Linked DNA regions of Oryctolagus cuniculus. The protein of the gene in region 2 interacts with the protein of the main gene of each other region in a pairwise test. Links are inferred from orthologs where the notes say so. Each region holds a gene or a part of one and is shown on either strand. Other genes may lie near its edges.

Region 1 (4,590 bases), on a different chromosome or scaffold from region 2:
TAACACCTGCAGCCACCTGGCTCCTCCCCTTACCTGGCCCCCATTCTCAGTTCGGAAGACGTACTTGACGTTGGGGTCAGGGAAGGTGGCAGCTGACTGGATGCTGGCGATAGCCACACTGGTTGGGTCCTCCCCAGTAGCTACTGCACCTGAAGTAGGAGAGCAAAGGAAAGGTCCCTGAGTTAACTGCCTTTCTCCTTCTGTTCCACTTGCACGACACGTGGAAGGAGGAAGGGCGCTCGGGAGGTGGCCCAGTGGAGGGACAGGTGCCATCATGGCTCTCAGTTCCATTTTTAACACTCACCTTCCTGAATCTGCACTGTCCCCTCTTCCGTTTCAGCTGTTTTCTGCTGCCTGTTTGTGGTGAAAGAGCAAAAGAAAGAATAAGGGAAGAAGGGAGTGAGAAGCTACTGGCCCAGTGGCAAAGAACTCCCAAATCCACTGGCATCCATAACAGATGCTGGGTTACGTGAGAATAACAACTAGTACTTACTATGCATGTAGGCTTCAAGCTAAGCATTTAACATGTCCTGTCTTAGTGAACACTAACAGCACTATAAGGCAGGTGGCACTACCTCCATTCTACAAATGGGAAACCAGATCACACAGCTGGTAGGGGACGGAACTGGACCTGACTCCAGGTCTGTCTGCCCGCACAGCCAGTGCTCTCAGCGTCTGACGCTCTCCCAGGCCAACCATCTCTCACCCCAGACCCTACCTCTGCTTTACTCACCCCTTCATCTCTCTGTGAGGGGGCACATCCGAGGAACTGGTCCTTTTTTTGGAGTCTTCGTATCTCCTGATTCACAGGCCTGAATACTAAGTCCTGGTAGAAATCACGGAGTTTGCAGTGAGTGTTGGACTGAACAGCCTCCCTAGACTTGGGATCAAGGCTCCGTGAACACACAGCCAGGAAAAGAACCCAGTCACCTGCACCTGCAAAGGACAACCAGCTTCCCCCATTCCAATGCTGAGGGCCGGTCTGTTGGAAAACGCAACCCTACAAATCGAGCTCCTCACCCCTTCATTATCACCCTGACTCTTGGTGGAGAAGGGGTCATTATACCGGAAGGCTGAGAAACAACACATTTCTCAAAGGATTATTATTAAAGCTATCATGATCTCCCACAACAGCAGCTTCAAGGAAATTAGGGAGGGCCATGTTGAGACCAGCATTACCAAAACACAAGGCCATGGACAGTCATGCTTCTTCCAGGTTCTCAGCTTCCAGCTGCCTCAATCCAGGGAGGGGACACAGGAACCCACCACCACTGGAAAACGGATGCTAACCACAAAGACCTGGCCCTTGGGCTCCACTCTACTGAAAGGGCTCTTATCTGGGCGCAGGGGGTGCCCAGATTGGTATCATCCCTTAGAGAACCTAACATCCAAGTGCACTAGCTTCAAGCCTTCTTTATTATTATTCATTAAGCCTTCCTGTAGAACAACACAGTTGCTAAAACGTTGCCATGACAACTCCAAATCAACTGAGCCTCACTAAGGAGGGAAAGAAAAAAAAAAAAAAAAGCCCAGGCTTAGGCTTCCGAAGAAGAGACAATGGAGGAGGAACCCATCTAGGAGGTGCCTGCCTTAGGACCCTGACATGCAGCCAGACGACAGAAAAAAACAAAGGGCTAAGCGGGCAGATGCCGAAAAGAAACAGCCGGTACAAAGCAGTAAAATAATCCCAACACGAAAGGGGCAAGATTTCTGTAAATTCTGCATCCGTGAGTTTCTCCTGGCCTTTTCTATCCCAGGAAATATCCTCAGCGGAGAAGCCCTGGAGAGCCCGTGGCCAAGGAAAATGGCAACAACAACAACAACAAAAAGGAACTGAAAGCGAAACTGTCCGAAGGAAGTAATGTTGCAAGGAGATCCCAGCCCCGCAGGAGAAGTAGCCCTGGTGTTTTGGGACCACCCAGGTCTCCATCCTCCAACCTGAGTGGGAAAAGTGCCCCTCCGAGGCTCGTCGCGCCGACTGCAGGAGGAAGCAATGAAAGAGAAGGCAGGGAGTAGGAGGCGCCTCTATCGCCCACAGCTGTCAGCCAAGGGCGGTCTCCGAGGACACCCCGCAGCGGGGTCGCGCTACTTCTTCAACCCCGCGCTGGACATCCGGAAGCATTTCCTGAGCCTTCGGGAGATGGGAGACACGGGAACCGGGATAGGATGTTGCGCTGTGCACGCTCAGGCAAACGAGGGCCCAGCGAGACCCCTGGCCGAGTCTGGACACAAAGCGGGGTGGGGGTGGGGGATGCAGCCTGGAAAGAAACCAGGCCTGAGAACAAGGCGTCTCCCCGAAGGCCCACCGAGCAGCAGGCGCTCACCGAGCTGAGCGCCCGCCAGGCGCGCGCCCCGGAGCCCGCGCCGTGACCCGGCCAGCCCAGCCGCGTTCGCCCCGCGCCGCGGCTGCTTCGCAGAGCAGGCAGGGAAGGGGCGCCGGGAGCTCGGGGGCCCGCAGCCGCAGCCCCGCGGCCGGACAGCGCAGGAGGGCGGGGAGCGGGTTTGGCCCACAAAGCGGGATAGCAAATAAAAGAACCAGGCACGGTCCCCTCCCCCAAAACAAAGGCTTCCTCCCCCAAGAGTTTCCCATCCTGAAAAACGGAAACTAAATCAAAGCGGCCCCGCCTTGCCGACCCATCCAGTCTCCACACTGCCGTGTGGCCCTGCACTCACCGGCCCAGGCCGTCTCAGCCGCCGATTTCCCCCCGACCGTGTTCTCCCTCTCCCGACCCGAGTCTCTCCATAGACAGCTGCTCATGCGCACTGCCGGCCCTGGGCCATGTTGGTGAGGGGCGGAAGTGTCTCTCTCGACCCGCCCCGCCCACTTACAGCCCCTGAGCCGCTCCACTTCCGCTCGCTCCATCTTGCTGAGGGCTGGAGGGATGGGAGCGTGGGGACACGCTCGGAGGGGTACTGCTGGCGAATGTCGCTCGAGGCCTGGCCACTTAGGGCGGGAGCGGGAGAAGGGCGGCTAGCGTGTGCTGCCATCTCTGTGCTTGGCAGAGCTTTTTTGATTCCGGGAAAAGGGAATGGGGCGGCAGGCGGGGATCAAGGAGGGCCGCCAGACGGAGGCGCCATCTTTAACAAGGGCTATTTGGGAGGCCATCTTGGATAAGGGCAATTTTTTTAAGGGTTTCCTACAGGAGATGGAGACATCTCAGGGCATAAATAGATAGATCTGAGCATACCTCCTTTCTGTTAGCGTCGCTAGTCACTCACCCGAGGCTTACATTTTGCGAGAGGATTGATTCCCATTCTTCCTAATAGGTTTGGAGTAGGATGGTATAATGGGAAAAATTAAGAAACCAGGCCATTTAAACCTGGTTCTCAAATCCATCTCTTCTACTTATTACCGCTGGGATCTTACAAGCATTTTTACTTAATTGAGCCTTAGTTTCCTCATCCGTAAGATGGAGCCACCTATGTGTACCTACCTTACAGAATTGCTAAGTGGAATTAATACACAAGACTACCCAGCCCGGTTCCTGGCACATAATGAACATTATGTAAATACAAGTTTCTCTTCCCCATTTCCTGACCACCGCTGACCCCAGCTCTAGTTTTTAGCCTAGTCTCCATGACAACTGAGAAACAGCCCTGAACAAAGTAGGGGAAAAAAAAGTTTGGCCAAATATATGAAAATGTGATACCTATCACCCAAGGTTTTAGTCAGAATAATGAGACTCCACACTGTTTATGTGTAAAAATACAACTTTTATTCTGCAATACCAACCCCTTCTAGAGTGAGACCTGTGCCCTCCACCTGTCTGGAGAAGCAGTCCCAAGAACCTGAGTGAGGCCATCCCCATTTTCTGAAACAGGAGGGCATTATTCCAAAGGAAAAAGGAACGGCCAGAGAGATGTGCACAAGACCTTTCCCCTGTAATATACGGAGAGGCAGATGGAGGGGAAGGGAGGGGTCCAGGCCATCTTTCAAACACTGAGGACTTCAAAGAACTTCCTGGACATACTGCTAATATGGAGCTAAGAGGATCGGGAAGTATCCAAGGATGTAGGGATGGACAACTAGTGTGTGTGTGTGTGTGTGTGTGTGTGAGAAAGGGGGGGGCGGAGGGAGAAGCTCTGAGCTGACCCAGTCCTCACCTCTGTCTTGGGCTTCTATAAAGAAGCCTCCGAGGAGAGCAGGAACTTGTCTGGAATTCCCCCTCCATTCTTCGCTTTGAGAAACTTCTTAAATTTTCTGCCTAACGTTATGTTCCCCTTGGCCAATGACGCTACTCCCTGGGAACAGGATCTTGGTGACTTTTTTGGAAAATCTCCTGAGAGATAAGTAAGTGCTCTAAGTCTGAGACGAGCTCAGGTATACCAGCTGAGAAAGTGCCTCCCACAGTCAGAAACAGAAGCTGGAGGACCAAAGTTCCATAGAGTGGGGCACTACAGCTGCTCAGGCTACAGAAGAGACAGCTAGCCAGGGACCCCAAAGATTCCAGACAATTTCCTGGTCCCTTTGGCCCAATGTTCTGGTCCTAATCACAGTCTCTCACCTTTCTCGTGGTTAGCCTGTGTTTCAAATGCATATGACCGGCGCTGGGGGCACATAAGGAGATCGGGGGGCTGGGGATCTTTGAG
Region 2 (4,483 bases):
CCCAAGGCAGGCCTGGGAACAGAAGCAGAGCTGCCCGCTGATGAGCGGGGGGCACAGCCGGAGAGCCCAGTCCTCCGGCTCCAGTTCCGTGGCACTGACAGCCCCGAGCGCGCTCGCTTGCTCACACTCTCTCTCTCTCGCTCGCTCGCTCTCCCTCTCGGCCTCAGTCTTCCCATCTCTACAATGGGAGCACGCCAGGAATGTGTGTCGGGATGCTCCTCCTGGCACTGACATTCTGCCTCTGCGAAGCCTTGGAAAATCCTGGCCGAGCTGGGCTAACGGCGATGGCCACTCAGTGACCTCCGTGGGCGGTTCTCGGTCCCGGCTTCCCCCTCGGAACACCGGGCGTGATGGCTGACCCTCTCTTCCAAGCACGCCCGACGCTAGCATGGCAGATCTTGCATAGCGCTCCACGCAAGGCTGGCTCCCCCGCCCAGCCCGCAGCGGGTGCTGCCCGCAAGACACCTGCGTCCCGCGAGAGACGCCCACTGCCTGCGGGGGCTCTGGATCCACACTTGTGGTCGCTCCTGCGGTCGCCCCAAATAATACATTTTGTCTGTGGACCGGTCACAGCGCTAGCTGCTTTGCGGGGGGGGGGGAGTTAAGATACCCCACCACTTCGGCGGGGCCTGTCATTTACCCCCTGGAGCCTAGGGACAGCAGCGGCAGAGGAGCATCACGTGGCCTCCAGCAAATCGTGAGAGCCAGAATTAGGTACCACGTGTGGTTTTTTTTTCTTTTTCTTTTTTTTTCTCATCCATTTGGCGGCTTCCAGCGGGTCCACGTTCTTCATCCCAGCCTCCCCGGCGTGGCAAGGTTGCTACGCGTCGGCTTCGTTCTATTTCGCCGAGGCCGGCCCAGGTCGAGCGGGTTCGCAGGCTCCCGGCAGGTGCGTAAGTCCGCGGGGGAATCCTCGGCCGCACCTGGGCGCGGCGAGGAAACCGCACCATGTATGGGCAGCTACGTCAGAGGGGCGGCCCCGGCGCGGCGGCTGCTCGGGGGACGCCTCGGCGGCCCCTTCCCCCCGGAACGGTGGGCGGTGTCGAGGCGCCCAGGGCGCCCAGGCACGGGGCGGCGCGTCCGGAGAGGTGGAGCCCCGCGGGGACCCGCGCCGCCGCGCACGCCCCGCCCCCCGCGGTCCCGGCGGCTCAGCCCCACAACTTTTCATTCATAAAACGAAGACTCCGCGAGGTGCGCGTGAGTCAGAACGCAAGCCTCCGACGCGGACCGCGCGGAGCAGCCGCCAGCCCAGGGCATGTACCGAGACTTCGGGGAACCCGGACCGAGCTCCGGGGCCGGCGGCGCGTACGGAGGCCCCCCGCAGCCCCCCGCCGCGGCGCAGGCGGCGGCCCCGCAGGTGAGAGGGAGGCACACCGGGGTCCCTGGGGACAGGGCGGGGGGACGGCGCCTGGGACCCCGGAGGCAGTCCCCGCGCGCCCCGCTGTGGAAGCGGCGAAGCCTGGGGCCGGGACCGCGGGTTCTGCCCATTCTCCGCAGTCCGGGGGCCAGCTGCCCCCAGAACCCAGAGGGACGCGCGCCCGCCCCCTCGTTCCCTGCCGCCGGCTCTTCCCTCCCGGGAACCTTCTTTCTTACCTGCGGTCCACTGCTCATTTGTGCGTCCCGCCCGCCTCGGAAGGGACGTATGACGTCCGGGCTATGTCCCAGCCCCGGGCGGTCAGCAGACGTCTCCCCCTTGGCATCCCGCGCCTGGGATACGTCGGGAACCCCTGGACGCAGCAGGAAGGCGGGATCTGTCGGTGACCTCCTGTGTGTCCGCCCCCGTCTACCGCGACGTCAGGTTCCAGCCCCCTCCTCTGCGCGGTGCAGCCGGGCTCCGGGGCGGTGGGACCCTCTGGGCTCCCGGTGGCCGGCTGTCCACCCCGTGGCGGAAGGACTCAGACAGAGACTGGGCCAGGTGCCGGGGCGGACGCCAGGGACAGCTCGCGCGCCCCTGCCCTCGGCACCGAACGGCGCCCACTGCAGGCTGGGGGCACTTGGGGAGCTGCAGGTGCCCATTTCCTGTCGAGGGGCGGCGAGCACGTGTCGCCAGGGGAGGGAAGGCGCGGCGTCCGTTCCGCCGAGTCACGGCGGCCGAGTCACGGCGGCTGAGTCACCCGCGGCGCCCCTCCCTTCCTGGCCCCGAGTGGCCCGGGCCCGGACAAACTCCGGAGCTGGGGACGCCGCCGGCAGTGCCGCGGGCCCGGAACTGGGGTCGCTGGGCCGCTGGGCTCGCACTGCGAGGACTTGCCTGGGCTTGCGGGGCGCTTCCCGGCCGACCAGGCGCCCACACCCAGGGCCCGTCCGGAGGGCTGGAACCCAGTTTTTCCAGAACAAGGCGCCCCCATCCCAGCCCAGTCCTCAGATTTCTGGTAGAAAGAGAAGGGTCCCAGTTAGCACTGGAAGCACTGACAGCCATGCCAGCCTTGTGCTGGGCGCTGGGCACTGGGCACCTCCGTTACCGTATTTCGTGGAATCTAAGACCCCGTGGAGTAAAAGATCCACAATTATTTGGTGTCACTAAGTTGTTTAAGTTGGTGTGTCTGATTTCAGAGCTTATTAGATGGTACTTCCTTTTTTTTTTTTTTTTTTTTTTTTGGACAGGCAGAGTGGACAGTGAGAAAGAGAGAGAGAGAAAGGTCTTCCTTTCGCCGTTGGTTCACCCTCCAATGGCTGCCGCGGCCAGCGCGCTGCGGCCGGCGCACCGCGCTGATCCAATGGCAGGAGCCAGGTACTTATCCTGGTCTCCCATGGGGTGCAGGGCCCAAGTACTTGGGCCATCCTCCACTGCACTCCCTGGCCACAGCAGAGAGCTGGCCTGGAAGAGGGGCAACCGGGACAGAATCCGGCGCCCCGACCAGGACTAGAACCCGGTGTGCCGGCGCCGCAAGGTGGAGGATTAGCCTAGTGAGCCGCGACGCCGGCTTGGTACTTCCTTTTTTTTTTTTTTTTTTTTTTTTTTTTTTTTTTTTTAAGAAAATTATTTACTTGAAAGAGAGTTATAGAGAGGCAGAGACAAAGAGGTCTTCCATCTGCTGGTTCACTCCCCAAATGGCCACAACACCCAGAGCTGAGCTGATCTGAAGCCAGGAGCTTCCTCTGGGTCTCCCACATGGGTGCAGGGGCCCAGGCACTTGGGCCATCTTCCACTGCTTTCCCAGGTGAGCAGCCGGAACCGGCACCGGCACCCGTATGGGATGCTGGCACTGCAGGCAGGGACTTTACCCACTATGTCCACAACCACAACGCCGGCTGCTAGACTTCTTAGCATCAATGAAATGCTGCGATCCTCCTCTGTGATAACAGCAAAATGGGAAACTGAGGCACACGGGGATGAAATAGCTCGCTGAGTCCCCTGTCAGTGGCTGAGCAGAGCTGAGCAGTGTCTCCCCCGTTCCCTCGCCCCATTCTCGCAGCCACCGCAGGCGCTCCGGGGCTGTCCTTGTCCCCCCAGGGGGATGGGTACAGGAGGGGCCGAGAGCCCAGCTTCTGCAAATGGAGCCCCTGCTGTGCCAAGCACATGGGTCAGTGTTTGTGGCCAGGAAGGTGTCTGGCAGTGAGCAGAGAGGTTGTGTGCCCTGCCCACAGTCACACAGCTCGTGAGCAGGGATTTGCCACCCATCAGTGTCTCTGGCTGCCAAGCCGGGCTCCTTCTGGTCTCCCAGAACCGGCATCTGCACGGAGGGTGGACGGCGGGAGAGTCTCTCTGCTCGGACCTCCTTGAGCCACGCAGACCTCACCCTGGCCCTCCGTTCCTTCTCCCCCAGAAGTTCCACCTCGTGCCCAGCATCAACGCTGTGAGTGGCAGCCAGGAGGTGCAGTGGATGGTGCAGCCTCACTTCCTGGGGCCCGGCAGTTACGCCAGGCCTCTGGCCTACCCCCAGTACAGCCCCCCACAGCCCAGGCCAGGAGTCATCCAGGCTCTGGGGCCGCCTCCAGGAGCACGTCGCCGGCCCAGCGAACAGGTGAGGGGCGCTGGTTCTGGGTGCCCAGGCATGCCAGTGTGCCAAAGGCATGCTCTGGCCACAGCGGAGAGCATGGGCTCAGACCGGCCGGGGAAGGAAGGGCCACTGCCGGGGAGGAGGTGATGGGCGCTGCTGGGGAGGCCCGCAGGGCAAAAAAGGTCACCTCTGCACCAGGGAAAGCTTCCTGGAGGAGGCGGCGCAGGGTTGCACGTGCTGAGATGAAGGGAGGGACAGTCCAGGCACAGGGGCTGGCAGGAGCCAAAGGGGAGGGGGGGAAGGCGAGAGGGTCTCCATGGGCTGCCGTGCACGGAGAGGGTGGGCTTAGGCAGTGCAGCTGCAGCAGCAGTGGGAGGGGTCCCTTCAGTTCCTCCCTGGATCTGTTTCCCGTCTCATTTAACTCGGACATGGACCCTCTGCCTCCTGCGTGTCTGCCTCTCCTCATCCCTTAGCCAAGAAGTGCAGGCACGGAGGTGTCCGGCACCTGCCCGAGATCACGCAGTAGTGAGAACCGGCCCGGGTCT

What was found.
Region 1: the proteins of FOSL1 (region 2) and USF1 interact in binary tests that used the Homo sapiens proteins (3 or more experiments, as listed by UniProt). The link is inferred for Oryctolagus cuniculus from reciprocal best matches to the Homo sapiens genes FOSL1 and USF1.

Annotation. Positions count from the first base shown.
Region 1 is NC_091438.1:37,751,153-37,755,742, reverse strand, and holds the start of USF1 (upstream stimulatory factor 1), read right to left. Parts: upstream 2,820-4,590; 5' UTR 2,674-2,819; intron 2,350-2,673; exon of another isoform or gene 2,325-2,349; intron 2,132-2,324; exon of another isoform or gene 1,939-2,131; intron 827-1,938; 5' UTR 742-826; coding exon 734-741; intron 355-733; coding exon 305-354; intron 150-304; coding exon 34-149; intron 1-33. Other genes in the region: ARHGAP30 (rho GTPase-activating protein 30), read right to left, coding at 4,492-4,590.
Region 2 is NC_091432.1:5,874,588-5,879,070, forward strand, and holds the start of FOSL1 (fos-related antigen 1), read left to right. Parts: upstream 1-1,642; coding exon 1,643-1,798; intron 1,799-3,764; coding exon 3,765-3,962; intron 3,963-4,483.